Linked DNA regions of Cricetulus griseus. The protein of the gene in region 2 binds, or shares a complex with, the protein of the main gene of each other region. Links are inferred from orthologs where the notes say so. Each region holds a gene or a part of one and is shown on either strand. Other genes may lie near its edges. The genes, in order: IQ motif and SEC7 domain-containing protein 2, Arf1 and Ap1b1.

Region 1 (10,488 bases), on a different chromosome or scaffold from region 2:
ATGCTTGATCACAAAAGAGGCATTTCAGAGTTGGATGTTACTGGAATGATTTCCAAAGTGGACAGGGTGATGTGTAGGACAGTATTTGAGAGGCAGAGACAGAAAAGTTACTTGATCCCAGGAATTTGAGACTAGCCAAATAGGATGACTCTGTCTCAGAGATGCTTGGCAGCAATGGGGAGTGGGTTGTATCATTTCTCAGTTTCTTGTCTTAGCCACTTTGCTTCAAACCTGACAGAAATACCCAGCTTCTGGACACTTTGCATGTGGGTGACAGTTGTATATCTTGGTCTGTTTGTGGGGTTCCTGGCAGTGGGACCAGGATCTATCCCTGATGCATGAGCTGGCTTTTTGGAGCTCATTCCCAATGGTGGAATGCCATACTCAGCCTTGATGCACATGGGAGGGGCTTGATCCTGCCTCAACTTAATGTGCCACGCTTTATTGACCCCCCATGGGAGGCCTTACCTTTTCTGAGGAGTAGATTGGGGGTGGGTTGGGGGTAGAGGGGGGAAGTAGGAGGGGAGAGGGGAACTGTGGTTGGTATGTAAAATAAGAAAATAAATAAAAGTAATTAAAAGAAAGAAATACCCAGCTTTTCTGTCTGCTCTCATTGCTGCAGATTATCAGTTTGGGATCAAGCTATTGTCTGCGGTACCTGGAGGGGAACGAAAAGTCCTCATCATCTTCAATGCTCCTAGCCTCCAAGACAGGCTGCGCTTTACCTCTGACCTGCGGGAGTCTATTGCTGAAGTGCAGGAGATGGAGAAGTACCGTGTGGAATGTGAGTAGCTACAGTCATGTAGCTACTCCTGTCATGATACAATGTTCCACAGACACCAAAAATCCTATATTCTGAGTTAAGGGCCAGCTTGCCCAACCTTCCTACCCCTCATTCTAGGAACCCTTCAGCTTCTAGGAGCCCATTGCTTCCTAACCCCAGATGATTCCAGTCATTGTGAGTCTATGCTGTGGCCTCCACAGCCACCCTCTAATCATGAGCCAACTCTTCCTTCTGTTGCATGGTATCAAGGAGAAGACTCAGGGCATAGGAGATAGGACTGTAGCTTCATACTTCATGTTTGCTATTTGTTATCTGGGCAAACTTGGGTGAGTTCCATGGCCCTCTGAACCCTTTGTTCAGATGAAACCGGGATAAAGAAATCTTCATGGAGTTTGACAAGGAGCCAGACACAGTGGTTGCACACCTGTAATCTCAGTACTGGGGAGGCTGGGGCAGGAAGATTTGAAGTTCCCAGACCAGCCGTGGCTATGTAGTGAGTCTCTCACAAAGAGAGGGGAGGAAGAGAAAAAGGAAGAGGAGAGGAGAAGTTGAAGATGAAGGAAAGGAAGAGAGAAGAGACCAGTGCATCCATGGTGTCCAATAATACCATTCACTATCTCCTCTCCTCAGTATCAGCTCCTGAGCTGAGGTCCAGCTCAATAACCAGGGCCTACGCCAAGTGTTTTCGATCATAGACGATGGAAAATAGTGATTTTTATCTCATTCTTCCTGATGCCCTCCAGGTTTTCTCTTTTCTAAGCTAAGCAGTCACAGTTAAGTAACATGGCATCGAGGAGGAAGAAGGCAGAGAGAAACAGAAGCAGTAGTCAGTTCCTTAATAGGTCTTCAGGAAGGCGCATTATCAGTTTAGTAGAGTCCTGGAACCCCTGGGGGAATAGAAGGCAGGAGATCAGCCATATAAAGATAAGGAGAGGCCCACTAGACCAGTTTTCCTGACCTCATTGGAGGTATGGGGGCCAGGAGAGCAGGATAGACCTGCTTGTAGAATGTTTGCTTTACCGATTTCAACTGTCCTACCGTGAGCAGACTCTGACTTGTCAAGTTCTCAGGTTCTTTTTCTGCAATGTAGATGATGCTCATAATGTGGAATGAGAGGGATCAAGTGTGTGCTGTCCCCAGCATCCTGTCTGGCACATAATAGAGGGTTTGATTCCCATCAGTTTCCTGCCCTTGCTGTTCCAAGAGCTCCTCTGCTATGAAGCAAGGCATCTGAAAACTGAGTGAACTTTGAAAGGACTGTCTTTCTCCATAGGCTAGAAGGGCCTTCCCATCCTTACTGTGAGCCATCTGTTGTAAAGCTCTTGTTTAAAGGGCAGGGGTGAGCCTGGCATTGGTGGCGCACGCCTTTAATCCCAGCACTCGAGAGGCAGAGGCAGGTGGATCTTTGTGAGTTTGAGGCCAGCCTTGTCTATAAAGTGAGTTCCAGGGCAGTCTGCAAAGCTACACAGAGAAACCCTATCTCAAAATAAATAAATAAGTGGCAGGAGTGATTAGGGAGGCCTGTCTACAATAGGGTAAAGAAAAGGGAGCAGGAAGTGTAGGCACCTATACTTTCAGGGAGGAAAGAAAAAGAAGGGTTAGGTGGCATAGGGTGAGCTAGGCACCTAAGGAGCTTTGAAGATAGAATTGCAGTTTGGGGGGGTACTAATAGAGGGGTGGGAGTGGGGCAGGAAGCTTGGGGAGCAGAAGGAGGGAGGAAAAGTGAGGAAGGCTGTTAGTCTATCAGGTGGGTTCTTAGTGTTATTCCTGATCTTTCCCCATTTTCTCCACTGCTACCCAGCGGAGCTGGAGAAGCAGAAAGGTATGATGCGGCCTAATGCCTCACAGCCTGGAGGAGCCAAGGACTCAGTGAATGGGACTCTGGCCCGCAGTAGTCTGGAGGACACTTATGGGGCAGGCGATGGGCTCAAGCGGGGTGCACTCAGTAGTTCCCTGCGAGACCTCTCTGATGCAGGTAAGTGCTCTGGGCCCCTGCCCTGACTGGGGAGATGCGGGACCAGGTGTCCTTTTTGCCTCCTGTCACTGGCTGTTAGCCTTCCTCCATCACACACACACACACACACACACACACACACACACACACACCCTTCCTTCAGAGCCCTGGGCACTATGTCACAGGGGGCCTGGTAGCCAGGTCAGAACAGGTGGGGCCCAGGGTTTCTGCCAGGGAGTATAAAGTGGGGCCACAGACTCAGCCCCTCTCCTCTTTTCCCTCTTCTGTCTCTCCTTTACTGCCTCTCCTCCATATTTTCCTCCTCTCTTTCCTCCTTCTCAACCTCTCCTCCTCCCTACCTCCCCCTCTTCAATGGGGGAGAGGGGTAAAGGGGTGTTTGTCCCTGGGAGGGACCTAGGCCTGGTGCCCAGCTCTGGAGCCCAGCAGGGTGGGGAGGGAGGGTTGCTGCTCTGACGCTGGGCTCCTTGCTTGTGGGTGCAGGGAAGCGGGGGCGGCGTAACAGCGTGGGATCGCTGGACAGCACCATCGAAGTAAGTGTCCGCTCCTGCCCCACTCATTTTCTGCATGAGCCCCGCCCTGGCCATGGAGCCCCAGAGGAGGAGGGGACCTGTTGCCTACCCCTCTTCCGTGCTGGGAACCATATGGCTGACTCTCCCAGCCAACCACTTTCTCCATCTGTCCTCAACTCTGTCTGTCCTCACTCTGCCTGTCTCTCAGTCTGTCTTCCACTCTCCCATGCCCCTTCTTAACCCCAGGGCCAACTCCAAATAGGGATGCCCTTGGACTTGGGCCTCAAGAAACGTTAACCTCCAAATCCTGCTCTTTGACCCTGAGCGAGTTACTCTGCCTTTCTAGGCCTAACATTTTCTTGGCCTGAGAAATGGTCATGAGAAGGAGGTCCTACTGATTCTTCCTCTGCCCTCTGAGGTTCAACTGAGGTAGTGGATGTGGCAACAGAGCTGGGGAGCAGAGCTGGCCACAAATACAGGACTGCTGTTTGGTTTTTGCTGTTACTTTGGGAATCCCTGTTGTTCCAGCTTCAGGGACAGGGGTGGAGTTTAGGGTTGGGGGTTTAGGATATTTAGACTGGCCTGACTTCCCCCCCTCCCCCCTTTCAGGGGTCTGTTATTAGCAGTCCACGCCCTCACCAGAGGATGCCACCTCCGCCCCCACCCCCGCCGCCAGAGGAGTACAAGAGCCAGAGGCCAGTCTCGAACTCCTCATCTTTCCTGGGCTCCCTATTTGGAAGCAAGAGAGGCAAAGGGCCCTTCCAGATGCCACCACCGCCAACAGGCCAGGCCTCTGCCTCGTCTTCATCTGCTTCCTCCACCCACCACCACCATCACCACCACCACCATGGTCACAGCCATGGTGGCATGGGGGTGCTACCTGATGGGCAGTCCAAGCTCCAGGCCCTGCATGCCCAGTATTGCCAAGGACCGGGCCCTGCCCCACCACCCTACCTCCCACCCCAGCAACCCCCTCTGCCTCCACCCCCTCAGCAGCCTCCACCCTTGCCCCAGCTGGGCTCCATTCCACCACCACCTGCCTCAGCCCCACCTGTGGGGCCACATCGACACTTCCATGCCCATGGCCCAGTTCCAGGACCCCAGCATTATACCTTGGGCCGGCCAGGGAGAGCCCCAAGACGAGGGACTGGAGGACACCCTCAGTTTGCTCCACATGGCCGCCATCCCTTGCACCAGCCCACATCCCCATTACCCCTGTACAGTCCTGCTCCACAGCACCCTCCTGCCCATAAACAGGGCCCCAAGCACTTCATCTTCAGTCACCACCCACAGATGATGCCAGCAGCAGGTGCAGCTGGGGGCCCTGGCTCCCGGCCACCAGGGGGATCCTACTCCCACCCTCACCACCCCCAGTCACCACTGTCACCACACTCACCCATCCCACCTCACCCCTCCTACCCACCCCTGCCCCCACCCTCACCTCACACCCCACATTCACCCCTACCACCCACCTCCCCCCATGGCCCACTGCACGCCTCTGGGCCCCCTGGCACGGCTAATCCACCCAGTGCAAACCCCAAGGCCAAGCCAAGCCGGATCAGCACTGTGGTCTGAGGAATGGGATGAGTGTCCTGGGGAACAGGATAGTCTGGGGAAATCCACGGGAGAGGGACTTTGCCCCCTCTCTTCTTCCTCAGTTTTTTCTAAATATATATACACTCAGCAGTGTCCTTTTTTCCACTTCCTCCACACCTCCAGACCCTTCTTTCAACCCCTGGCAGTTGTCATGGGGTTTCCTTCTGGATCGGAGGGCCCTTGCCACTTGCAGCCTGTACTTAGGGCACTACAGTGCTGGGAAGTGGTAAGGGCCTCTCCGCAGTCCTTGTCCTCCGTTTCCTGTCTTCCTCTTCTCTTTCTTGTCCCTGGAGGTCTAGTGGGTGGCCTCAGACCTCTGGGCAAATGTGAGCTTCCTTGCAAGCTGGTGGAGAAGGCAGGCTTCTGGAGCTGTGGGGGTGAAGGCTTCCCTGGAGCTCCTCTGGCTGTGTGGGGCTAGGAGAGAGCTCTGTAGAGCTGTGGCCAAACCTCAGGGCCTAGCCACACACCTCCATGTGTCTTTCTGCCTGCTGGAGGACACAGACTTCCGTGCACTCTGTGGGTGGAACCCTGCTTGTGCTGGCCCCTCACTGAGGGCACTGCTTCCTCTCTTGAGCCAGTCTGTGTGTGCCCTCTCTCCTAATAAGCCCCAGCCCAGACCTCTTTGGCTTCAGGAACTTGCCTTGCCCTCTGCAATGTTCTTATCCTGATCAAAGTCTTTTTTTTTTTTTTTTTTTTTGGAGGTGGCGGGGGGCTCAGGTCTGGGATGAGAAGGGTACTACCCTCCCTCACCCATATTGCATGCCCCCCATTCCTTCTACTTTCCCCACCTACATCTGAAGACAATGCACTTTACAGATATCACCCACACATATCACACTGGGGCAGGGCACCCAGCATCAGCCCTGGGGAAAGACTCCCAGAGGATCACCCTGAGCCCAAGATGTCCTTCCTGAGGCAGAGATCGAAGCCATCAGAGCTGGGGCTGCGAGCCAGAATGCCCAAGCCCCTCTTGTTCATCAAAATCTCCACTGCCTCGCCAGTCCTTTCACAGCCCTGTTTATTTATTATAAATATATTTTTTACAAGTCCCAACTCCTCTTCTTGCCCTATACATCCAGCTCCTTTCACAGTCCCTGCCTTCTTCTCCCTTGTCCAGTATGGGCTGCAGTACAGACAGACAGAAGGACCCTCTATGTCAAAGGGTCCCCGGGGCTTGGGGTTGTGGGAGGGTGTTGGTGGGAGGGACTGTGTGGAGAGGAGCGGGGGTCCAGGCATTGTCTTTTTCCCTCCTTGTATATAAGAATGTATATTTGATGCCTCATAAAAGACCTTGTGCTCACCTCTGGCCTCTGCCTCCTACTTATGCCCCCTTCACTGTGGAGCCCATGGAGAGAGAGGCACTCGTCTGGGGAGGTGATGTGTTAATGGTAATTCAGACAACTGGGTGGGCAAGATGCTTTGCTTGGGTAGGAGTGTAGATGAGGGTGGATTTCCTGTCTCATTTCTTATGTCCTCTGCATGACAGTGGCAGGAGTGTGGGCCTTTGTGTTGATCCAGTACATACCCTGAGGGTTTCACTGAGGCACAAGACTTTCAAGGAATGACTCTCCCAAGTCTTAGTCACTTCACTTTACCACCTGGGATGACCGCATATTGTTATGCTATCGAACTTGGAGGTCACAACCTCTGCCCTAAGTCAGTTTCTTAATTGGCTTGTTGACAAGCAAATTAAAAGAGCCAAATTAAAAGTTGAAAGCAGAATGAATAAGAGATTGATTCAATGTGACCATATTGGAAGACAAATAAAGGGGTCTAGAAAACCCCCAAGTCAGTCTTCAGGGTCCTGAAGGTAGGTCCAAGTTTTAAAAAAAGGGCCAAGGATAGGCACATGGAAGTAGTTGAGGTCAAGGTGTGGTCCAAGCCACCATTGGCCCTTCTTTCTATGGGCTTCAGTCTCATCCTATAAAATGGTTAGAACTGGGTAAAATCTCTTTCCTGGAGACAAATTCTCCTTCTGGCATGAGATTCCTGGGGAATTTCCCTTTCTTTGGAGCCCATTGTTTCAATAATCTGATAGATTGAGAGGCACAAATGTCTCTGTAAAATATTCAGGCTGGGGAGAAGGCTCAGAGATTAAGAGCATTTCTTGGCCCAGAGAGTAGTGGCACACACCCTTAATCCCAGCACTTGGGAGTCAGAGGCAGGCGGATCTCTGGGAGTTTGAGGCCAACCTGGTCCTGAATTTCAGGACAGCCAGGACTGTTATACAGAGAAATTCTGTCTGGAAAAACCAAAAACCGAAACAAAGAAACAAACAAAAACCCAGAACACTTCCTGTTCTTGCAAAGGACTGGAGTTTGATTCCCAGAACCCAAATGATGGCTCACAACTATTTATAACTCCACAACTCTGGGGGATCCAACATACTCACTTGCATATAACTCACATATGGATACACACATACATATAATTGAAAATAAAAATAAATATTTAAAAAAAGAATATCTTCATTTTTTGCCAGTCTAGTTACAGCTACATGGAATTGTGCTAACTGCATGAAGTAATCAATACCAAGCAGCTAGGATGGAGTAGGTATTCAGCAAGTTAGTTGTCTTCTCTGTAGAGGGTGGCTATGTGAAAGTGTGTGGCCTCTGTTCTCACTCTTCCTGTGACTGGCCTGGTTTTGCCTTGAAATCCCTGCTACTGACTCTCCATGCAATGGCTGGCCATATTTTTGTTTTTGAGACCAGGGAGGTGATGAGCTAGGAAGGCTCAAGTCTAAATACTTTATTTGAGCTCTGTGTATATACTTAGAATACTAAATAACAAATAGCTGTCTTTCATTTACAGAGGAGACAGAACAGACAGCAAGTTAGGATGGGGCTTCTTTCTTTCTTTCTTTTTTGGGGGGGTGTTTTTGAGACAGGGTTTCTCTGTGTAGTTTTGGAGGCTGTCGTGGAACTTGCTCTGTAGACCTGGCTGTCTTCGAACTCACAGAGACCCTCCTGCCTCTGCCTCCTGAGTGCTGGGATTAAAGGCATGAGCCACCAACACCTGGCAAGATGAGTTTTCTTTACTTGTTGCCCAAACCCATTTCCACTGCCCCAAGCTGTGTCCCTGTAAAATGGACCCATTTCTAGCATCAGTAGTTATGCCTTGGGTCTCAGCCTAACATGGGACAGATGGAGCAGAGTAATGGCTCTTAGATTCAGCAGGGTCCCCAGACAACATTCAGTTGGCAGTTTTGCTGCTTTCCTAGGATCTGCAATGGTGGGATGGTTTAGAGGACCCTACCCTTCTTGGATCAGTGCTTTTGTTTTCTTCCTGGTAAAGCATGCTGAAAGGCCACCCAAAGAAGATAACTAGAGCAGCAGCTAGAGCCATGTAAGTGTTTGGTGCCTCCTGGTGGATCCGACCTGAGTGTTTGAAGAGCCCAGATGTGGGGTCCACACAGCATGTTTTGGTTTCTTCCTTGGTGGGCTATGCTAGGCTCTCCTTGGTCTCTCCCAATTTTTCTACCTTCAGCTAGTGACTGGCTGTATCTTGGTAATGGTTAGCCTTTAGCACTCAGATACTGACCCATGCTTCTTCGGCAATTCACCTGACCCCTGAGAGCCTGGTTTTTGACCTCTAGAATGGAAACAAAAAGTTTTTCAGGACAATTGCTAGCTGATACATTGTTAGCTGATACATTGTTAGCTGATAACATGTGAAATGCCTACCTCCTGCCACACTTACAGTCAGCTGCTCTCAGTCGCCTACAGAAATCAATGCAAAAGTTGGGAGTTTGTCACAGGGTGTCCTAGTCAAGATCTCAGAAGTCCATCTCTCTCTCTCCCTGCCTCCCTCTCTCTCTCCCTCCCTCTCCCCCTCTCTCACATACTTAGTAATTAATGAATGAAATTTTTTAATTTTTAAAATTTATTCTTATTTTATGTGCATTGGTGTTTTGTCTGCATATATGTCTGTGTGAGGGTGCTGGATCCTGGAGTTACTGACAGTTGTGAGCTGCCATGTGGGTGCTGGAAATTGAACTCAGGTCTTTTGAAAGAGCAGTTAAATACTCTTAACCACTGAGCCGTCTCTTCACCCCGATGAATGGAATTTTTAAAATTAAAAAGAATTAGAGAATTCAAAGCAGTAGTAATACAGAGTAAACATTCTCATTCCACAAGGAAGGAATGAAAATACAGAAAGGAGGGATAGGACTAAAGCAAGGCTGAAAACCCAGTCAGATGAATATTACATTCTGTTGCTTCATGTCTGGTGTCTAGGTCATGTGTATCGTAATGTGACATCCAAAGGGCCTGGAAAGCCCTGCCCCTGTGGCCCTTCTATTGTAGCCCCTTTCTTGGGCTGGCCTTGTTGGCTGGCTGAAACTTTACTCAGCAAAATGTTCCCATTTCCCTGGCATCTCTAATTTCCTGGAACTTTTCAACTTCCATAGACTTTTCAACTTCACCCTCACAGCTTTGCCTGTTGCACTCTCAAGGGTTGCATGTTAGGGGTCCTGGCATCTCTTGAAATTTGGGTAGAAACCAGGTGTGATGCCACATGCCTATAAACACAGCACTTGTGGGAGGCAGTGGCAGGAAGATTAGGAGTTCAAGGGCAACCTGAGTTACATAGCAAGTTGGAGGTACACTTGACACCCTGTTTCAGAAAGCCCCAAACTAGGCCGGGCATTGGTGGCGCACGCCTTTAGTCCCAGCACTTGGGGGCAGAGGCAGGTGGATCTCTGTGAGTTCGAGACCAGCCTGGTTTATAAGAGCTAGTTCCAGGACAGCCTCCAAAGCCACAGAGAAACCCTGTCTCAAAAACCAAAAAAATAAAAGAAAGAAAAAAAAAAAAAAGCCGGGTGTTGGTAACGCTCGCCTTTAGTCCCAGCATTCGGAAGGCAGAGGCAGGTGGATCTCTGTGAGTTCGAGACCAGCCTGGTCTGTAAGAGCTAGTTCCAGGATAGGCTCCAAAGCTACACAGAGAAACCCTGTCTCGAAAAACCAAAAAAAAAAAAAAAAAAAAAAAAAAGAAAAAGAAAAAAAAAAGGCCCCAAACTAAAACTAAACCAAGCCCAAATTCATCAGTGTCATGATGGTGGCCGACTTCTGCTGTCAACTATAGGGTGAGGGGCTTAGACCATGCAGTCCCTGTCTTGTAGTGCCAGGGGCAGAGAATAGGAGAATGTTTCCCTAGGAAGTGTGAGCATTGGTGGTCCCAGGGTGTGTGTGTGTGTGTGTGTGTGTGTGTGTGTGTGTGTGTGTGTGTGTGTGTGTGTGTGCAAGCCCGAGCTTGATGTTGTGTATCTTCTCCAGTCACTCTCCATCTTATTCGGGGGATAGGGTCTCCCACTAAACCTCAGAGATCCTCCCGTCTCTACCTCTACCTCAGTGCTGCTGATTACTTGGCTTTTTTTTAAATATGGATGCTGTGGATCAAACTCAGGTCCTCTTGATTCCATGCCAAACACTGTACCAAATGACCCATCTCCTCAGCACTTTCCCCAGGACTCTCTTTAATGAAGACTATTTACTTATTTATGTATTTATTTGTGTTTGTGTGCATGGTGGGTATGGAAAGCAGTGGCACATATGGTGGAGGTCAGAGAATAACTTTTGTGAATCACCGTTTTTCTTCCTCTGTGTAGATTCCAGGGATCAAACTCA
Region 2 (10,625 bases):
TAGCCAGGGCTAAACAAAGAATCTCTCTCTCTCTCTCTCTCTCTCTCTCTCTCTCACACACACACACACACACACACACACACACACACACACACACACACACAAAGAATTAGGGAAGGGCACTGCTCTCCCTGTATTTCTCCCTCTGGGAAGTCATTAAGGGTGTAAAGTTCCTCTTGCAACCAGGTACTAGAGGTCCAGAGTTTTGATTGTATGAGCATGCTGAACATAAGACAAAATACCAAGTGGAGTCCAAATGAGACTTAATGCTATGCAGAATATCCCTAAAGACACTGTGAAGTTACTTTTTCAGCCAGTTAGCCTGCTCAGAGACGCCTGCTGGGAAGGGCTTTTGAGAGCTTGAGGGCAAGCAGAGTAGATCAGGAAATACTACAGGTGTACTCCAATCTGCCCAGTGTATAAAACTTCCCCAACAGGCTAGATTGCCTGGTACAGTGATGAGCTCCCTGGGAATCCTATGGTGGGAACCCATAGGAACCCTGGAGAACACTGTAGTCTGTAAAAGAACCAAAGTACCCGAGTCCTAAGAGGCCAAGTAAAGAGCCACATGCCTGGAAATAGTCAAACATGGAGATTAAACTCCTTATCAGTTGGCTCAGATATGTGCCAATTGTATGTGCGTGTGCGTGTGTGTGTCATACATACATACATGCATACATACATACATATGGAATAAGACTTCTACATTTCTAGGCATCAGTAGCCTGGCATGAATGCCACCCATCTTACATATAGAGGCTGCACAAACTGTCTGGGGGAATGGATGAGGTCCTCAAGGCACAGAGTTCCTTTTACCTCCCACTGGGTCTTGTCTCCTGGGGGCATTCCTGACTCTAGTCCTTACTCTAGGTAAGGTTATCTCTCTAGCAACCTGGAGAACAAGAAGCTAGGCCACTTGGCATCCATGCCTCTGACTAGGTCCTTGGGAGTAGGTTGGTCTAAAGGGAAGGGCCTGGACTTTGCTTTGGTGTATGATCAGCTAAAGGGGAGGTGAGGTGCCATAGGCACTCCTACCTTCCTAGTATACAGGTAGTTGAGGATTCTGAACACCTTTCAGTGAGCTCACTTCGCCCCCTCCTGGACAGAGCTTGTCCATGCAGGGACTTCAGAGAGGAAAAGGCACTCTGACCCGAAGCAACCTAGGTGGAGGAGTTAGCCTCAGTTTATCCAAGCAACTGACATTTCCTGGTAGGGTCTGTCCTCAGACATGCTCACTCAGGGCTCCCACAGATATGTATGCCCTTTCCGCCCCCCACCCCCATCCCCACCCACTGGGACAGGGACCAAAACAGAAGCACAGTGAAAGAAGGAAGTATGTTTCTTAACTTGGGAGTGGGCAGACAGCAATCTGTTGATCATTTTCAAAACTGTATCTTACATAAACCCCATCTTGTCTCTCCATTATTTCATTTTGCTAAATTCTATCCCCCCCATAAAGTTTCTTTGGATTTTTATTTCTTTAAAAATGATTTTGAAGATTTTATTTTTTAAAAAGTAAAGATTTTATTTAAAATGGTTTTGGTGATACATTGCTTATGATCTAATAAAGCAACTGGAGATCAAAATGCAAAGCTAGCCACAGCCAGAGAGCCAGGCAGTGGTGGTACACACCTTTAATCCCAGGACTAGAGAGACAGAGGCAGACAGATCTCTGTCTGTTCAAGGTTACACTGAGCTACATGAAATTGATTTAGTCTAAAAGAGAAAACAGCTCACACAAAGGTGATCTCAGCACTTGGGATCACACACCTTTAATCCCAGCACTAGGGATGTAGAGACAGGAGTGATGTGGCTGGGCAGAGAAAGGAATATAAGGCAGGAGGAGACAGGAACTCAAAGGATTTCAGTCTGAAGCTTGGTGGAGAGCAGTGCAGTCTGCGTTACACTCTGAGGATTCGTGGAGACAGGATCACCCATTTCAGTCCTAGGTAGAGTAAGAGCTAGTGGCTGGCTGCTTTTCTTTTCTGATCTTCAGCTTGAATCTCAATATCTGTAACTGGGTCTTTTATTATTCGTTTTACAATTTTTTAAAGGATTTATTTATTATGTGTACAGTGTTCCGCCTGCATGTATGCCTGCAGGCCAGAAGAGGGCACCAAATCTCATTACAGATGGTTGTGAGCCACCATGTGCTGGGAATTGAACTCAGGACCTTTGGAAGAGCAGGCAGTGCTCTTAACCACTGAGCTATCTCTCCAGACCCCCTGTGTTACAATTTTTAAAAGATACTTTTTAATTGTATGTGTGTGTAAGTGCAGATGATTGTGGAGGTCAGAAGCATCAGATCCCCCAGAAATGGAGTTATAGGCAGTTGGGAGTTGGGAAAGGAACTTGGGTACTTTGTGAGAGAAGTATGTCCTCTTAAGGGCTGAGCCATCTCTTCAGCTCAGTTGTCCAATTCCCTTTTTAATATACACTTCGGGATGGAGAGATGGTTCTGTGCATAAGACTATTTGATGCTCTTGTAGAGGCCTTGAGTTTGGTTCCCAGAATACAAATGGCAACTCATAAACACCTGTAACTCCAGTTTGGATTTATTTATTTTATTTATGTATGTGAGTGCCTACAAATATGTATGTATACCACAAGAGTGCCTGTTGCCTAAGGATGCCAGAAGAGGGAGTCAGATCCACTGGAACTGGATATATGATTCAACACTCAAAGTTTATGTGCAATATGAAAATTTCACTGGAGGTTTAAACCCGACCTGGGGAGGTGGGAAGAACCTATCATCCATTGAACATTATTAAGTATCCATAATGGCTATTTAAGTTTTTAATGGACACAAATAATTATTTACAGGGTATAGTGAGTTTTGGGGCATGAATGTACAGTTGCCAGGTTAGGATAAATGGATGGACTACCACCCTATCTATTTTGCCACAATTTTATCTTTTTAGGAACAGAAAGGGTTTGTTCTTGATTAGTAATCTGTAGTTTTCCTTGACACTCTGTATCTTTGTCTTCTCATCTATAAAGTGGCTGTGACAGGCTTCTTATATGGCTGGGATCACAGGCCTCTGGGTATGTCCTGCCATTTTTCCAGGGAATGAAGAGCTAGCACCACCCAAGGCTTTGCATGAATACTTGCTGTGTGTTGAGGGTGGGAGATCAGGCAGTTATCTCCATAGAAACTTACAGAAGTGGTACTTAAAAACCGGAGGTCTAAAGCCAGGCGGTAGTGGTGGCACACGCCTTTAGTCCCCACACTTGGGAGGCAGAGGCAGGTGGATCTTTAAGTTCAAGGCCAGGCAGGGGTATGCAGAGAAACCGCATCAAGAAGGTGACCATTTCCTAGAACCCTGACAAGTTTAGCACCCACAACTCTTAAGAGAAAGCTCTGGAGGTCTCAACCCCCCAAACAACAGCGAGGATGCCTGGACACAGTGTGATTGATTAATCTAGGCCCATGTAACAGAAGTGCCTCCTGCCAATTCAACAGATAGGGCTCCAGGTTTTTTTTTTTTTTTTTTTTTTAAATGCCCTAGGTCCCTCAACATCTCTTGCCTGTGGGATTCCTCACAATAAATGAGGTGGAAGAACTGGACAGGCCTGACAGAGCGTGGGTCTGATTCCTGCATAGATGGGGAGGCAAGCAGATTTCTGCTGCTTCTGACCAGGCAGGGAAGGCTTCTCAGGGAGATGTAACAGGTTCCTCCTCTCCTGCACCCTTCAGGAGGCCACCCCATCAGGGGCAACCTAGAGTACCCTCTCAGGCGGTGCTAACTCCACACAAGTCTTTGGGTCAGCTCTGAGAGTGCACACAGGGCCAAGGCTAGCGTAGGGGCACGGTACCTATCTGACACTTGGTCTGCGCCTCTTTCCGCTCTGGCTACTTGTCAGTGATATCATTATCTTCAGTGCCCAGGGCCAGCTGGAATATACCTCTGAGAGGAACATCACACCCCCTCAGTGCTGACACGACCTTCCCACTCTGACCTTGGCGCTCTAGAACGCTTACTGTCCTCAACCCCCGCATCCGAGGAATGGGCAGGAATTCCGCAGGAAGGCGCGCGTGCGCACGCGTCGATGGACACGGAAATCCACCCACCACACCCTTGTGCGTTCTAGTCCGGGGAAACCGGTGTGTGCTAGCCCGGGGCCGCGATCCGGAAGCAGAGCGACTTTGGCCCCGCCCCGTGAAGGCTACTTGGTGCAGACGCGCAAGCGCCATTCATCTAGGGGCGGGGCCTCAGGCGTGCCCGCCCTCTTCCCCCGGCGTGCCCCGCGGCAGGCGCTGACGTGGCTGCCGTCAGCGCCGCCATCTTGTGGGAGCGAAACCAACGCCTGGCTGGGAGCAGCCGCCGCGGAGGTGAGGCGCTGGGCGCGTTGGGGCTGAAGCTGGGGAGGCCACGGGCTGGTCATCGTGGGCGTCGAGGGGCGCTCGGTTCAAGCTTCTAAGGGCCGAGTCTGGTCGGGCGGGCCGGGATCTCTGTCTAGCGGACCTGACGGCAGGCCGGGCAGTGGATCGGGGCTCCCCCAGTCCCGCGTCGCCCACGGCCGCTTGGCCCTCCCCCACTCCGCGGCCCATACGCCTGGCCGCCAGCCGCGGGCCGCAGCCCGGAAGTCCGGCCGGGACGCCGGCTCCATTCCAGGAAGCCAGGTTTCCTGCTGTTCCTCTCTGCGCCTCTCCTAGGTTCCACGGCCCGGGAGCTCGGGAACGGGGAGCAGGGCTCGAGGGGTACGGGGGGGGGTCTCCCTTCTAGAAGGGCTAGCCGGAAGCTTCAGATACGGCACGGACCTTGGGGTAGGGGAAACTGAGGCTTGGGTGGCCCTCAGACGGCGTCAAGGTCACTCGGGTGGCGAGGTCTTCCTCCTCTGTGTCTCGAGTCCGGTTCCTGTCGGCCCGGAGGACCGGAGCTGTAGGAGGTGAAGGGCTGGGACCGGTGGAGCGGGGCTCCGGACTGCTGAACCGGGTGCTTGGATTTAACAAGCGCATATGCGGATTTCAGTGGATCCCAAGTGCCCACTCTGATCCCTAGTGAGCCGTGATTTGTGCCCCACACTTTTCTGGTGAGATCTTCATTGAGGTTTGCACTCAAGGGCCCGGTGGCCTCTGCAGGAGTTGAGCCTTGTTTTACCTCTTGACTGACCCCCTTGATGCTCCTTTGGGTGGATTAGAAAGGCCCTTCTGAGTTGGGGAATCTTTAACCTGGCCGTGGAACAACCTGCTCCCAGGTTCTGAGCAATCTGCTTGTAACAAGAGGCCAGATCCAGTGTACAGTTCTGGCTGTCCAGTCAGGGTGGCCATGCCGTGTCGGACTGTATGTAGCTGAACCGTTGCATGGTACCTAAGTGGGAGGGATTCTCCCTTCCAGCAAGTGGCTGTTTTGCTGGAAAAGAAAGGGGCAGCTGCTCCTGTTCCCAGAAGGCACCAGAGAGCCCAGTAGTTGATGCCACAACCAATGTTGGAGTAGTCCGTTGTAGTTCTTGTTTCACAACTAGTGGTCAGCAGTTTTTCCTGCAGGCTGAGTCTGCAGTGAGTGTAGAACAGAAGACTAGTGAGATGCCATGGTGCTTTGGGTGCTGACTCCATGTCCTTTCTCTGTCTTAACCAGTGTCTACAGTACCTGACATGGGTGACTGCCTGTAATGTCCTCACCTTTGAGCTTTCAGCAGCACTGTCTCACATAGCCTGGACTGTGAGATTTGATGAAGAGTGTTACTCTCTGACTTCTCTGTTTTCTCCAGAGTTGTGAGCTGTGTGGTGTAAGGGCCAGTCACAGATTTGTGAGCTACATTGTTGTAACTACATTGTCTCCTTGGCATGAAGGTTTCTCTTGATGGAATGTCTATCGCTTTCATCCCTAGGTATCTTGTTGAAAATGAGTCTGACTCACTGGTTCACCACACTGTTGTCTTGCTTGTGAGGCAGATGTAGAGTTGCTACTTCAGAAAGGTTTAAGAGCTAGGGGTAGAGTGCTTTTCCTAGCTTGTATAAATGGTTTGGCTCTCTAGCACTGCACACACAAGGTTTAACTGTGAATAACAGCTGACTCATACTCAGTCTACTTATCCTGGAAGGAAGGTAGCAATAGCTAGTTCTGTGCCCCTCATTTACAGTTATAAGTCATGTAGCTGAGATGTCCACTATACCTCTTGAACAGTAATTCCTTGTAGAGAGGATCTTTGTTCCATTTTGGTTGTTGCCTCAGCCCAGGACCAGGCAGGATTCAAACTACAACCTTTTATTTATTTTTTTCTTTTTTTAAGGTAAAGGTAACTTAGACCAGCAGTTACTGTGGTGACGACCCAGTGTCAGGCAACCTAACCAAGAGAAAAAACTTGTTGTGCAGGTTCATGCAATAGCTTGTCAACAATGGTTTGAGAGTATTGGGTCAATGTTTTTCAGATTCCTTGAATTAAGTGTTACATTAATGTGCAGGGTTTTTTTATTTTGAGACAAGGTTTCTCTGTGTAGCCCTGGCTGTCTTGGAACTCTCTCTCTCTGTAGACCAGGCTGGCCTCAAACTCTGAGATCTGCTTGCCTCTGCCTCCCTAGTGCTAGGATTAAAGGCCTAAGCCATCACTGCTCAGCTTGATGTACAGGTTTAAATCTACTGTTAATCACAAGGGCTGTCTATGTGTGTCATTTGCACTGAGGAGCCCAACAGACCCCTGCCTGCTCTAGTTTGCTATGTCATTCATGGTCTGTCTGTCTGTCCATCCCTATTTTCTCTCATGAATCCCTTTGACTTTTGATCTTCATGAAATTGTCAGTGATGGTGAGGAGAGAAACATGAAAATTCCTTTTGTGTGTATGCTGTATCTCCCCTGTCTCTCTGTCTCTCTGTCTCTCTCTCTCTCTCTCTCTCTCTCTCTCTCTCTCTCTCTCTGTGTGTGTGTGTTTGTGTGTGTGTGTGTGTACACATATACACGCATTGGGATTTCTCACTACACACTGAGGTTTATGTTCAATATTGATTGTGATACAGATTGCAGGTAATAGCTTGTGGTGTTACTTGTTAGTGTAGGACCTTTTAGGTGTTCACCACCCTGTCCTACTACATATACAAAGAAGTGATGATACTAATTAGGGCCCATCTTCCACAATATTCTTATCTGGTCCTGTTCCCTGAAATTTTTACTCACATTGGTAACAGGGCTTGGCTGCCTGTCAGTAGCCAATATACTAGGAAGAGTGGCACTCCCTGCAGGCCCTGATATAGGGAACGTTTTCAGTAGTAAGAGGAATTGATAGAAAATAGGAACATAGGCTGTTTATGGGGAAGAGTTTGACTGTGTAGTTTGTAGTACAGGTTTGCCCTAAACTCCTGCCCCAGCCTCTAGAGATTACAGCCTGCTGGGATTACAGGTGTGTGCCCCCATGCTAGGCAGGCATATTTTTATAGACAGCAGTTGGGGGTGATTAAGTTTATGTGGTAAACAGCTCCCCATATTTCTGAGGATCTGAGAATTACTGCAGTATAGCATGAGTGAGACTTGGTTATTAAGGAAACTTTCTTAATCAGTATCTATAGAGGTAAGTATACATGTTAAAGGGATGCTAGCAAACTAGTTCTTTCCAACAGGCTCCTTGTGCTTGATGGCTGTATGTTAAACAATAACTTTTTGTCAGTATCAGTTGTCAAAATATTTTTGCAATGGCTTATACTGAAACAGGGAAGTTTGTGGCCCAGATTCTCTATGTGTCCTCTGACAAGTTTTTCTTTCTTTCTTCCTCTCCACCCCCTTTTTAAAATTCTGTTGGTATGATTTAGGTGCTTGTTTCCAAGAAAAGGGTTGAAAAGGGTTTCTAGATTTTAGTGAGAGTCATTGCTGAAGAATGAGAATGAAGGCAGAGCTAGATGGCCTGCAGTGTGTGTTCCTCTGGAGCTTCCTGTTCTGTAGATAAGAATGCTCTTCTTTCTTGTTTGATTCCAGGAGCTTATATTTAAAATACTCTGTCTTCTAATGACTTTGGTGGTAAACTTCTGCTTGGCATTATTTTCAACTTTTAACATTTCTGTTCTGTTAAAGGTCATATCAGACTTTGGACATACCGAAGTGATCAACTGAACTGTGTGCTTAGAGCTAGCAGTTCTTGAGGTAGGTTTGACGCACACCTGAGTATCTAGATGTTACTGGTGTAGGAATGTTAACACAGAAGCACACTTGTGCATAGTTTAAAAATAATGCAACATTGCTTGTTGGCCCTGTAGTTTCCCTGAAGGGATTAGCTTCTCTAGGTGTGTGATTTTTTTTTTTTTAATTTTTAAAAAAATCCCAGTGGCCTTGATAAACCTTTTTTTTTTTTTTTTCCCAGTGCTTGTGAGGAAGAGGCAGGTGGATCTCTGAGTTTGAGGCCAACCTGGTCTACAGAGTGAGTTCCAGGATGGCCAGGACTATTTCATAGAGAAACCCAATCTCAAAAACAAAACAAAACACTTCTATTTCTTCTGATAAGGAGTCACCTGTGAGGGGCCTAGTGGAGGAGGCGGCCTTACTTAGCATTGGATGAAAAGCTATTTGCCCATGTATGCTATTGGAGTGTTCATCCCAACCATCCTAGAGTGACATGGGCAGGTACTGGGGCCTATCCAAGGAGGCAGAACTGTCACCTCACAGGTGACGTTTATGCAGAAATAAGATAAAGATTGGCAAGTTTGAGGGAGAAACCAGAGGCTTCTTAGTAGCCCAGGACAATTGATGCAAGGGCTCCGAGCTGAGTAAGTGTACTGGAGTTTGGAAACCAGCCAGGAGCAGTGAGAGAGAGGAGGACTAAAGAGAGGGTGGTCCTGGTCCCTGGTGCAGCTTTGTAGTCCTCAGAAAGGATATTTTGAAATCTGTGGGAAGGAACCCTTTGCTTCTCAGGTAAGGAGGCAAGTCTCTGGCACTTAGCCACTTGTGTGGTTTTCATGTAGATGGAAAATCCCTCTGTGATAGCCTAAGTTTGATCACAGAAAGATAATGCTTTTCTTTGGCATAATAGTAACAGATGTTCCAAGTCTTCCAGGAACCCAGCTTTAACTACCTTGTAAGGCAAGGGCAGTGCATTTTGTTTTCTTCAGTGCCTTACAAAAAGTTGTTCTCTGTTTTCAGGAAAAAGGTTATTTCTCTGCGGTGGCATGCCCTTGAGATTGCTGTGGTTGTCATTTAGTGCCTCAGTAGCTTCCCACCTCCCTTTGTCCTATATATGGGGGTGGCTGGGCCTAGCATTAAAGCATAGTTTCACTAGAAGTTACTTCCCATTGTGTCTCTGTGATGTCATTGTTGAGGCAGACTCATGGGGATCTTCAGTCTTGTGCAAATGTCAGGTTATCTATTGGCTTCTTTTCCAGATGGCTGACTTAGTGGACTGAAGGGTGTGGTGGGCACCACAAAGTCCCATGGCTACTGTGTGTGACGGTCCTGACATCACAGGTGTTACTTTGCACCTGATTAATTCAGTTGTTGTGGAGTAGTTGGGGGTGGTAGCAGTAAGTCTTCATGGTTTGAGTCTGAAGAACTGGGTGGGAATTTGGGAAAGAGGGAGATTTTGGTGGAATACCTGGCTATGGAAACGTGGCGGATCCTTACCCTGAAATTGTTAGAGAACGCCCCCGGTGCTGGTTTGCCTGAGGGGAGGCCTCTGACAACAAAGTTGAGGCATCAACAGGTGTGTGTTTTAGAGAAAAGCTTTTCTGCCATCAGGATAGTGGGGGAGTAGTTGAGTAGTGTGTGGTCAGCAGTTCCTGGCTCAGTGAGGACAATGGACTTGGGGAAATGTGGTCTTTGTCCTTCTGTGTGTGTGTGCCTTACTCTAGCAGGGTGGGGCAGGACTGCAGCAAAGCTGAGGGAGCATAGTGACAGTTCAGCCTTCCGTACACTTTATTCTTTTGCTTCCTCCTGAAGAGCAAGTGTCAAAAGAAGGGGGCAGGGCACTCCCTACCCTCTGAATGAAAGTCACCTGAAGATAGAAATAAAGATTTTTGTTTTTTCATTAAAATATGTATTGTTTTTTAATTTTTAAATTGTGTGTCTGCCTGTGGATATATAAGTGAGTGAAACGTTCAAGGAGGCAGAGGTGTGTCAGATCCTTCTGGAGCTGTATTGCAGACAGTTGTAAGCAGCCTGATAGAAGTGCTGGTAATTAAACTCTGGCCCTCTGCAAGAGTAATGCTTAACAACTGAGCCATCTCTAGCCTCTCATTTTTGTTATGAGACTATCTCAAACTATAGCCCAGGCTCGCCCTGATCTTAGGGCAGTCTGCCTCAGTCTCCAGAGTACTAGGATTACAGATTTGAGCCATCATGGCATCAAAAGTCAAGTTTGAAGCTTGACTTACACAGTAAGTACCCCTGTAGCTGTCAGCCTCTTTGTCTGAAGTGGGACTGGACGTAGCATAGAAGAGTGCCTTGCTCACTGTGGCTGGTTTGAGGAAGAGCTTATTTTATGAAAGCACTGTGAACTAGTTGTTGGTGGTTCCAGTTCCCTTTTTCTTCAGTGTGGAAAGGGCCTCTGGGATGCTATGTCCAGATTCATTGGCCCTGAGAGAGAGAGAGAGAGAGAGAGAGAGAGAGAGAGAGAGAGAGAGAGAGAGAGAGAGAGAGAGGAGAGGGGGAGGGAGGGAGGGAGGGAGGGAGGGATATGTGATGTGCGTGTTTCATGTAGGGAGCTCATA
Region 3 (10,525 bases), on a different chromosome or scaffold from region 2:
ACCAAAACAAAAACCCCAAGAATTAAGAGGGAGGGTGATGGTTCAAATTCCAGGAAACTGATCTTTGTATTTCACATCTCAAGGCCTGTAACTCTGGGGTGATTATGGTACCATGTTGGGAAGAGTCACACCATGTACATCAAAGATCGTAGTCAGATCTGGCTCCTCGTGTTGTTTGACATTTCTTAAACTTAGAATTATCAGAAATGGTAACATTTCCTGGGACTGTTAAATGAGATGAATCATGTCCAGCCATTAGCACAAAGCCTGGCACATAGCATATGTCCCAAATACTTTGCTGGTTCTTAGTGATTGCCAAACCTGTCCCTTCAGCCCTGCTTCCCTGAGATGCCCTGGAACCAGCAGCCCAATATAAGGTACGATATGAAGTTTTAGGGAGAGAAGAAAAAATAATATTTTGCAAATACCAGATGCTTTAGGTATTTTCTGTCTCATTAAGTATCACAGGGGCCTGGAGAAGTGGGTTTCTGGAGGTAGGGAGAAGTCCTGGGAATTGAACCCTGGTCCTTGTGTATGCTAGACAAGTATTTTACCACTAAGCGCCAGCCCCAACCTCAAAGTCAATTTCTGTTGCACGTTCTTTACAAATACTTATACTTAGGAACTTATACTTAGGGCCTGGAAGAAGTTTCCCATGAAGCAAACAAACCTTTAAAATCACTGCTTATTTTCCTTCTTCCCCATTTCTCACTGTCATCCCTTCCCTCCCCTGCAGTTAGCTAGCTGCCTGAAAAGCTTGTGTTCTCTGTATTCAACCTCTACTGATGCTACTTTGATTTTGCAGTGCCCTCTTCCCTGATGTGGTGAACTGCATGCAAACAGATAACCTGGAGCTAAAGAAGCTGGTGTACCTGTACTTAATGAATTATGCCAAGAGTCAGCCTGATATGGCCATCATGGCTGTCAACACCTTTGTGAAGGTGAGTAGGAACCCAGTGGGAATGCGGATAAGGACTGCTCACTGTCTCATGTCCCTGTCTCTTTGGAATACTGGGGTACTCTGGCTTGGATGGAATTTTCAGGCACATTTGCAGGCCTGCAGGCTTCCTTCTGCCTGATCAGGCTGAGGGCCTCTTCCTCCAGCAGAGGGCCCCCTCTCTCTCCAGAACCACAGACCTAAAGACTGTGGTTTATTCATTCCCTATGAGGTGGCACTAGGCCTATTGGCCTTTCATTTTCCTGGGCTGGGCCACTCACTCCTCGTGTCTGTTGCCATGGCAGATTTAAGCAAGCATCTGAGAGCAGCTCTATTCCCTTACCAGATGGCTCCTTTCTGTATTTTCTGTTACTAGATGAGCAGAGCATGAACTTGGACACTGAGTCCAGCCCACATACAGGAAAATGAACGTTTCTATGGCTGTGTGTGCCTATAATTCCAGCACTTGGGAGGCTAGGAAGGAAGGTTGCCAAGAGTTGTGGGTCAGTGTAGGCTACATAGTGAGTTCCAGGCCAGTCTCAGCAACAGGGCAAGGCCTTGTCTGAAAAGATTGAGGACTATAGTGCTAGGAGCATATGGGTTTGCATAGCTGCTCTGCTCTGATGGGGTGAGCACAGAACCTTCTGCAGAGCCTCAGCTTCCTTGATTGTGAAACAGGGCCCCAGGAAGCAACAGAGAAAGTGTATAAAGCCCCTCACACAGTATCTGGCAGATGCTTGGCATCCATTCTGTGGCATTTACTTTGAGTGTTATTGGCTGTGGTCAGTGGACACCCCACAGCAGCTGCCTGATGTTGTCTAGAGTTGGAAGCCAGGAAGAATAGGAAGCCACAGATGACTCATCCTGCCCCTGCCCAATGACTGGTCCCCCTTAGGACTGTGAGGACCCCAACCCCCTCATCCGGGCCCTGGCTGTAAGGACCATGGGCTGCATTCGAGTTGACAAGATCACAGAGTACTTGTGTGAACCACTCCGAAAGTGCCTGAAGGATGAAGATCCATATGTGCGCAAGACAGCGGCTGTGTGTGTAGCCAAGCTCCATGACATCAATGCCCAGCTGGTAGAAGACCAGGGTTTCCTGGATACACTTAAAGACCTCATCTCTGACTCTAACCCCATGGTAAGTGCTAACAGCCCTTGGGATGCCCACAGACTTCTGGGTTCCTTGGGAAGAACACCTGGCATGATTCCCACCTGGCTTTCCTTTTCTTAGAAATTAGGTCCTTGAGGAATATCTAGTACCTGTTCCTTGCAGTGGCTTGCAGGGAGCTGGGCCTGGATTTCTTTTGGCCCTCTCAAACTATCTACATGGCTTCAGGAAAGCTGCCTAATCTTGGGATCCCTGTTTGTCTCATTAGACTGTGGGAAGGTGACATACCTGATCTAGCTGGCCTGACCTGGCAAGCAGTGACTCTGCAGTTAGTGCTAGTGTCCTTCCCTTTCTAATCGCTGTCACTGTTACTAGCTCCTAACCAAGACCTGTAATTCCCGAACACATAGCTCTCTTCTAGTAGAGTTGCAGAGATGTCACCTTACAATACTATAGTGTGGAAGACAGGACACCAGGACTCGGTGGGAACCCGAATCCCCTCACTCACTGTGATGACAAGACTTTGCAGTGTAGTTTGTCAGGGCCTGTAACCCCAGCAATCAGTAGGCTGAAGCAGAAGGACTAAGAGGTAAAGGCCACCCTCTGCTATATAATGAGATCCTTCCTAAAAATTTAACACTATGAAAGAAAAAAATGAAATATTCAAAACATTGGGCACAGCCCCTCTCTGTACCCAAACAAAACACTGATTGCTCTTAAAGACTGATTACTATAACACTGTGTCATAGAGGAAAGTTGAAAACATTATAGATTGTACATAAAAGGAGCTGTCTTGGTGGAAACATTATTTGGTAAACCCCTCTATAGTCTAGACCCATCCACTCTCAGCAGCCTTGAAGAGATCTGCAGGATTCTTCTGTCTCTGAGAAGCACAGGTGACAACCACTGCAATGAGCGGCTCTAGCCAGTAGAGGGAGGTTGGACTGGTACTGGGCATTGCCTTCCATTGCTAGGTGCCTGGAGCTGGGTCTTTCTTTCCCTTCTTTCCAATGACAGGTGTACTTATTTTAGTTCTGCTTTACAGAGGAGTCAGTGGGGTGAGTGTTGTAAGTCAGACATTTTTCAGACTCTAAAACCTACCAGTAGGGTCATATTCTTTATCGAGTGTCCCATCTTGACCTACTAGTGTCATTAGCCCCTGTGCTCCCTAACTTGAGCAGTCCCTCCAGCCTCTACCCCTTCCACTCTCAACCAGGTGGTGGCAAATGCAGTGGCTGCCCTCTCAGAGATTGCGGAGTCTCACCCCAGTAGCAACCTGCTTGACTTGAACCCACAGTCCATCAACAAGCTGCTGACAGCCCTTAATGAATGCACTGAGTGGGGCCAGATCTTCATTCTGGACTGTCTGGCCAACTACATGCCCAAGGATGACCGTGAGGCACAGAGGTGAGCATACAAACCCCTTGCTTACCAGCCTGGTTGGATATGGTCCTCATGACCTCTCTGAGCTGGGCCTCAGGCCTGAATGGGCCTCCTTCCAAGACCTTTCTTCTGTCATCAGACATACTTTAAGGGAGCCAGCCGGCTTCTCATCTCCTGAACCATGCTGTCAGTTGTATGGGGTCTGGCCAGGAACTGACAAGGATCCATCTGGGCTGAATGAAGAGCTTTATAGCTTCAGAACCACTGAGTTCTCTAGGTATCTGACCTCTGCTGGGTGCCTTCCATGTTATGTAATGTTTATAGCAGATCTTTGAAATGTATCCCATCATTATTAGCCATCTTACAGACAAGGAGACTGAATTAGAGAGGTGCAAGGAATTGCGTAGTTCACCCAGCTGGGACTGTCTTGACCAACATGAAAGAATTTGACAGTAGAAGGGAAAGAGCTTACATTTAGAGATATTTACTATGTTCCAGGCTCTGTATTCACTGTTTTCACTTAGGTGTCCAACAAACCTGTGGAGTAGACACCGTTACACCAACTCTGAGATGAGGAAAGTGAGGCTCACTGTGTTCTAGGCCTGCTAGAATCAGTAGGCAGCAGACCAGAAGGCCTTCCTCCTATAGAAAACATCCTGTTTTACCTGGAGATAGTTCAGTTGGTGGAGTGATTACTAAGCATACATGAAGCCCTGGGTTCTAGCCCCAGCCCCACATAAACCAGACATGGTGGTGTGTGCATGTAATCTCAGCACTTGGAAGGTGGAGGCAAGAGGATCAGACATGTTAAGACCAGTGGGAAAGCACTTGTCTCACATATATGAGACCCTAGGTTCAGTGTAAGTCCTGGAAGAAAAAGAAAAAGTGGGGGTGGAGCAACCCTTTTCTTGGGCAGTTCATTGGCTACATAGTGAGTTTAAGGCCCACATGGGTTATATGAGGCCCTGTCTCAAAAAGAAAAAGAAAAAAAAAAAAAAAGACATGCTATTTTGATAAGTGAACCAGGACTTTTCCCTTGTCTATCTCTCTTTGCACTACTGCAATGGCTGGACCCCAGCATCTGTGAAAGGGTCACTCCTAGGCTCTCCCATGCCAACTCTGCTGTGGTGCTGTCTGCTGTGAAGGTGTTAATGAAGTTCATGGAGATGTTGTCCAAGGACCTGGACTACTATGGCACACTGCTCAAGAAGCTAGCACCTCCTCTGGTCACACTGCTGTCAGCAGAGCCAGAGCTGCAGTATGTGGCTCTGCGCAACATCAACCTCATCGTGCAGAAAAGGTACAGAGACTGCCATTACATGTTTGCTACATGCTAGAGACAGGGACCTTCAAGGGAAACTGATCTGTCACCAGGCAGGAAGTCTAAAGAGTACTGCAGGGCTCTCAACCAGAGAACTTTACCCCCCAGGGGACACTTATAAGAAACTACCTGGCCTAGGTCAGGGTGTCAATGTTACAAAGCCCTGACTCAGACTTAGAGAAAGCGAATAAGTAAAGGCAAGCATGGTGCTGCTTCGCCCAGACATTTAGTGGCTCAGAGTCTGTAGAGTCCTTCGGGATATCTGAAGATTTTATATGTGTGCAGTTTGCTTGGGGACAAAGTTCATAGGTATCATCAAAATCCTTGAATTTGGAGACCCTAGAGATGGTGAGAAGTCATGGATTTGGCATCAGCCTCAAAGCCTGAAGGGAGAAGTAGAACAGAATGCTGGGCAACCTGCTTCCTTCCTCCAAGGATGACTCCAATAAGTCAGTCACTGTGCCCAAGGAAGGGGTCTGGTGCTTGATGGGTAAGGTCTGAAACTCCATAAGCAGCAGTGGGTCTGCAGTGTCTCTGGAATGGCCTTCTCCTTCCTCTAAGGCAGGGTTCCTGCAGTGTGGTGAGATCCACCTCCCAAACTCTCCTTCCAGCCTCTCTGCACTCAGGGCTTAGCAATGGCAACTCATTTTTACTGTCTGCTGCTAGGAACCAGGACCACAGTAAACAGGGCCCCTTGTGGTCATGCCTTAGGAAATTAGCATACTTTCTTTGTTACAGGAGCAATCTGGTTCTTAATGTCTCTTAGATGGACAGAGATACTTACTGAGCTGGGACATTTATGAAGACTTGGAGAGTAAACATGGGTAAAGTGTTCTAAGTCTCTGAGTAACGTGATATGACTAGGGCTTTGCTGTTACAGTGTGGGTCTCTATATACCAGTGTCCTCGGATCACTGCATTTATTAGAATACAGGAACAAGACCAGCCTGAAGGGTTCTGTGTGCTATATTTAACACAATCTCTTAAGAAGTTGTCTATGTCACCTAGTCATGACGTGGACCAGCCTGACGTGATTGGGCAGCCTTTGTAAAGTCTCAATTGTAGAAGTCATCTTCCTACTACTCATCTCAGAGTCTTTTCTCCCCCATAGAGCACCACAAAAGCTCCTTACTCAGCCAGGCTCTCCACAGTTTGTATGGCAACACAGACCCTTGAACTCCTCTTTCCTCTGTCCCCATCACAGAGCTTCATCCCTGGCTGTAACTTTGTTTTACAATTATTAGTTTCTATCCTGGGAAGGACATAGAAGTAGGAACCAGGATGGTACCTCTTACCTTGTTCTCAACTTTTTAGTTTGTGACAAATGCAAGCTTTGTAACCTCTCAATATTCCCTTGTCTTAGAAAAATGTGTCCCGTGGTACCATTTGAGGGCAGCAGGCAGCAAGGGAGGAGCAGTAGATACACTTAGATAGCTCAGCAGGTGACAGTTCCTATTGGCAAGTGCCTTCATATAGCAGGCATTGATCATGCTAGATGCTTCCATCTCCCACAGTTGACCTATTGTGCAGGAGTCTGTTTGTGTTCAGAGATTGGCTAGCATTTCCCAGTAGTCATTTGTGTTCCTTATCTGAGATTTAGTAGAGTGACCTACATAAGGGAGAGTATAGAAGAATCCATGAAAGGCTTTCTCTTGAGCTTTCCTCTATTGGAAGGTCAGCAGAGAACAGCAACAAGTGTGGAATGTTTCCTCCCAAGGAGCCAAATTGAGACAGGGCACCTAGGGGCAATAGGGCAATAGGGGCACACTATTTCAGGACTGCAGAAGGAAAGCAGGGTTTAAGCATAAACTGTATTGTTTATAAATGGTCTAGGCATAGCCAGCCGTCTTTATCTTTGAATGAACAGGATGAATGTTCCGAGAGTTTGAGTTCATACACACCAGATTCAGGCCTGGGTTAGTAATTATTCCTGCGCAATTCATTCTCATTTCATGAGTAAGGAAACAAGGGTTGAGGTCACACATTGGGATTAGAACCCTGGCCTGCTGCCTACTATCCATGTAAATTACTTTTCCTTCCTGAGATGTGACCCAGCAAGCTGTAGCCAGGAAGAACCACTACCTATGGCCACACAGTCATGATTATTGTTCTGCCTCCCTGGACATCAAGCTTCACCTATAGCCCAGGAATTCCCCAGCAGATGTGGAATGACGACTCATGGGTCTTATGGCTTCTTTTTTATTCTCTGGGCATCTTGCCCCACCACCAGGCCAGAAATCTTGAAGCATGAAATGAAAGTTTTCTTTGTGAAGTACAATGACCCCATCTACGTGAAGCTGGAGAAACTGGACATTATGATCCGCCTGGCCTCCCAGGCCAACATCGCCCAGGCAAGCAGAGTATGGTGGTGTGGGGCACAAGCTTTGGTGTCAGACAACTTCCTAGGTGTGTCTAGGTCAGCATGCTCACTGTGACATTCTATCTCATGGAGAGTTGTGGATGATAGAGCTCTGTAAGCAAGCAAAAACAACTAATGTCTGTATTAATAAAGAATATTCTCAAGCTGTCCACAAAGGTACACTCCTGAAGTCCCAGATACTTGGGTGGCTGAAGCAGGAGAATCACTTGTCATAAGATCAAAACTACCTTGGACAACATAAATAGACTCCCTATACATACTCAAAAAATTCTCCTTATTCTCTCTATTATTATCTATCATTTATTCACTAAAAAATGGTAGTTGGTCACCTAGGGATATGGTACAATTGGTAAAGCACTTACTAGGGGCAGTCATGAAGACCTGAAATTAATATCCAGAACCTATGTTTAAAAATCTGTGTGTGGGAACTGAAGAGATGGCTGGCTCCATAGTTAAGAGCACTTACTACTTTTTCAAAAGACATGGGTTTAGTTCTCAGCACCCACAGAGGGTCTCACAACCACCTGTAACACCAGTTTCAAGGTATCTGATACCTTCTTCTATCCTCTGTGGCACCTACCCCCTCCCTACACACATACCCCACCCCCCATATCACTGGTTCTCTCTCTCTGTCTCTGTCTCTGTCTCTGTCTCTCTCTCTCTCTCTCTCTCTCTCTCTCTCTCTCTCTGTGTGTGTGTGTGTGTGTGTGTGTGTGTGTGTGTGTGTGTGTGTCTGCCCCCCCCTCTCTGCCTCGGTCTCTCTCCCCATCCCCTACACACACAGTCTGGTGTAGTGCACTGGAGAAGTGGAGACAAGCAGATCCCTGGGGCTGACTAGCCAGCCAGCCAGCCTAGCCTCACTGGCAAACCCCAGGCCAGTTAGAGACCCTATCTCAAAACAAAAATAACAACAAAAGTAGATTGATCCTGGGAAATGACACCCAAGGATGTCCTGGCTTCCACATGTGGAGACATGTGTATAAGCGTACCTCCTTATGTCTGCCTCCCCACCGCCTCCGCCCCCCACAAAAAAAGCAGTAGCTGAGGCTGAAAAATGTAGTTTGGGGGTAGAATATCTACTTAGCATCCCCAACACCACACACACAAAATGAGGTTCTTGGATATAGTAGCTGTCAGTGTAAAGCAAGGTTTGTTGAACCTTGCTACATAGTCATCCTCTACCTTCCTTTTGAATTCTCTTCCTTTTGAGGAGCCTGATGACACGCTCCCCTGAGCCGTCCATTGTGAGCAGACAACAGAGTCCCGTCCCTTTGGGAGTTCATGCATTTCTGTTACCCAAGTATTCTAACAGATTGTTCCATCGGATATCTCCAATCCATTTTCTGTTTGGATCACAGGTATTGGCGGAACTCAAAGAGTATGCTACAGAAGTAGATGTGGATTTTGTACGGAAGGCAGTGCGTGCCATCGGTCGCTGTGCCATCAAGGTGGAGGTGAATAGGTTCTGGGATTCCATTCCTAGCCAGGGAGGGAGAAGGTTGTTGAAAACAGAAAGCCAGTCTGATCCTAGAAGCTGTTTATGGTTCAGGAAGTCCAAGGGTCACCAACAGGGCCTCCAAGGTACCCACTACACAGAATTACATTGGCTCTTTTTCACTTCAGGCTCTTGAGTTGTAACAGGTGAAATGATGCCCCTGTAATGATGGTTCTTAATGATGGTTCTCCTACAGCATTATCTAAGGCCACAGGACAGCCACCAGCTCATGGAGTTCCTGTTAGACTTACCACAGAGATCTGCGGCAGGACCTCTGCCTGATAGATACTTCAGAAGATACCTTGATTGAGCTACTGGGCTGCTTCTTCTGACCTACTAAATCACTCTAAACCCAGTGCCCTGACATTTCATTCTCTCCACTCTGCCTGGGGAGCTATTCCTTGACATTGACCTGTACACAGTGGGTCTGCTGGTGGCTTAAGGACCCTGGGATAGCTGGTCATACCCACTCAGGACCCTGAAAACAGCATCTTAAGCTGTTTTCCCCTTGATTTTTATTATTGCTCTCCTGAGACATCTGCCCCTTCGGGCTATTATATAGTATGTAGAAATAAAAGCAAAAGACTAGGTACAGAAACTTTGTAGGTCTAGCCATTGCAGCCAATTTTATGAAACAAGCCAGAGAGATGGGGCCAAATAGGGTCACTCAGCCCTTTGCCTGGAGGAACTCCCAATGACCTCACACTTTCAAGAGCTACACCTCTGGCTGTCTTGTGTTCTCATTCTATCTGTGTGTCCTTTTCATCCAGGGCCCTCATTTGGCCCTTGTCCTCTGCCTCCCCATTGTCAAGGGAAAGAGATCTGTTTTCATGCTATAATAAAGAAGGTGGGCAATGGGTCTGAAGCTGCTTGACTGCAGCAGGATCATTAGCCCAATTGGAAACTGTGTGCAGAGACCTTGCCTACACTGCCTCTTCTTCCCACACAGCAATCTGCAGAGCGCTGTGTGAGCACATTGCTTGATCTCATCCAGACCAAGGTCAACTATGTAGTCCAGGAAGCCATTGTGGTCATTAAGGACATCTTCCGCAAGTACCCCAACAAGTAGGTGCCCACCCCGCATGGGAAGAGAGCAGCTCGGCTTCCTCTTCCTCCTTTCCCTTTCTTCCCATTTCATAGCTTTCTCAGAAGAAACTTTTTGTCTTTTTTGTTCTTTTACCCAAGCTGGCCCTCCAGGCCAAAATAAGATCAGCTAAACTCCAGCTAAACACCCCCTGTCTTCACCATCTCTCCGGGTCTGGGCAGCTGCCTATCTGACTTGGCCCTTAACCCTCCACCACACACATTGGCCAAAATTCCTTGGTGCTTACCTGCTGGCTCAATCCTGCTTTCCTAGGTATGAGAGCGTGATAGCCACACTGTGTGAGAACCTAGACTCCCTGGATGAGCCTGAGGCCCGGGCTGCTATGATCTGGATAGTGGGCGAGTATGCTGAGCGGATTGACAATGCAGATGAGCTGCTGGAGAGCTTCCTTGAAGGTTTTCATGATGAGAGCACCCAGGTGAGCCTTCATGTGAGCACACCCATCACTGATTGCCTAGCCCAATTCTGGCCTGTTCCACCCCTATATCCTTCCTTCCTCCCTCCGATTGCATTGCCACTGTGTATAGACATTAATTGACAGGCTCTGTGTGGCCCCTTTTTCTCCCCCACAGCAGTGCCTCAGAAGACATAGGACAGTCTGTGGTGTGTGTGGAAGTTGGTCAGAAGTTTCTGGCTTTGTTTTGATTTCATATTTATCTTTTGGTAGTACATTGACATGGTTCCAAATAGAAATACTCCTGGGACTATATAATGAAAATTCTTCCTCTAACTGCTTTCAAAGTGGCCATAGTTCTCCCAGTTACTAGCATACTTAAGTTTCTTGGTCATTAGAG

What was found.
Region 1: the proteins of Arf1 (region 2) and IQ motif and SEC7 domain-containing protein 2 are in contact, whole or in part, in a crystal structure (PDB 6FAE), measured with the Homo sapiens proteins. The link is inferred for Cricetulus griseus from reciprocal best matches to the Homo sapiens genes ARF1 and IQSEC2. Residues at the interface, in NP_001019397.1 of Homo sapiens: Arg19, Gly24, Leu25, Asp26, Ala27, Lys30, Thr31, Ile46, Pro47, Thr48, Ile49, Gly50, Phe51, Asn52, Val53, Glu54, Thr55, Thr64, Trp66, Asp67, Val68, Gly69, Gly70, Gln71, Lys73, Ile74, Pro76, Leu77, Trp78, His80; in NP_001104595.1 of Homo sapiens: Arg810, Gln811, Gln841, Arg845, Val846, Gln847, Gly848, Glu849, Ala850, Gln851, Val853, Glu854, Glu858, Asp879, Phe882, Ile883, Phe886, Ala887, Ile889, Leu890, Asn892, Thr893, Asp894, Tyr896, Ser897, Pro898, Ser899, Val900, Arg904, Met906.
Region 3: the proteins of Arf1 (region 2) and Ap1b1 are in contact, whole or in part, in a cryo-EM structure (PDB 7R4H), measured with the Homo sapiens proteins. The link is inferred for Cricetulus griseus from reciprocal best matches to the Homo sapiens genes ARF1 and AP1B1. Residues at the interface, in NP_001019397.1 of Homo sapiens: Glu17, Met18, Tyr35, Ile46, Thr48, Ile49, Gly50, Phe51, Asn52, Val53, Glu54, Thr64, Trp66, Lys73, Leu77, Arg79, His80, Tyr81, Gln83, Asn84; in NP_001118.3 of Homo sapiens: Asn23, Asp25, Pro52, Asp53, Val55, Asn56, Met58, Gln59, Met83, Ile85, Met86, Ala87, Val88, Asn89, Thr90, Val92, Lys93, Tyr121.

What each region holds. Positions count from the first base shown.
Region 1 is NC_048604.1:107,283,071-107,293,558, reverse strand, and holds the end of IQ motif and SEC7 domain-containing protein 2, read left to right. Parts: intron 1-622; coding exon 623-784; intron 785-2,585; coding exon 2,586-2,759; intron 2,760-3,239; coding exon 3,240-3,289; intron 3,290-3,877; coding exon 3,878-4,843; 3' UTR 4,844-5,559; downstream 5,560-10,488. UniProt on the Homo sapiens protein: Is a guanine nucleotide exchange factor for the ARF GTP-binding proteins.
Region 2 is NC_048600.1:73,282,305-73,292,929, reverse strand, and holds the start of Arf1 (ADP-ribosylation factor 1), read left to right. Parts: upstream 1-4,192; 5' UTR 4,193-4,333; intron 4,334-8,001; exon of another isoform or gene 8,002-8,070; intron 8,071-10,625. UniProt on the Homo sapiens protein: Small GTPase involved in protein trafficking between different compartments. Modulates vesicle budding and uncoating within the Golgi complex. In its GTP-bound form, triggers the recruitment of coatomer proteins to the Golgi membrane.
Region 3 is NW_023276807.1:99,875,757-99,886,281, reverse strand, and holds part of Ap1b1 (AP-1 complex subunit beta-1), read left to right. Parts: intron 1-805; coding exon 806-941; intron 942-1,832; coding exon 1,833-2,078; intron 2,079-3,264; coding exon 3,265-3,455; intron 3,456-4,509; coding exon 4,510-4,731; intron 4,732-6,981; coding exon 6,982-7,102; intron 7,103-8,489; coding exon 8,490-8,585; intron 8,586-9,575; coding exon 9,576-9,691; intron 9,692-9,983; coding exon 9,984-10,149; intron 10,150-10,525. UniProt on the Homo sapiens protein: Subunit of clathrin-associated adaptor protein complex 1 that plays a role in protein sorting in the late-Golgi/trans-Golgi network (TGN) and/or endosomes.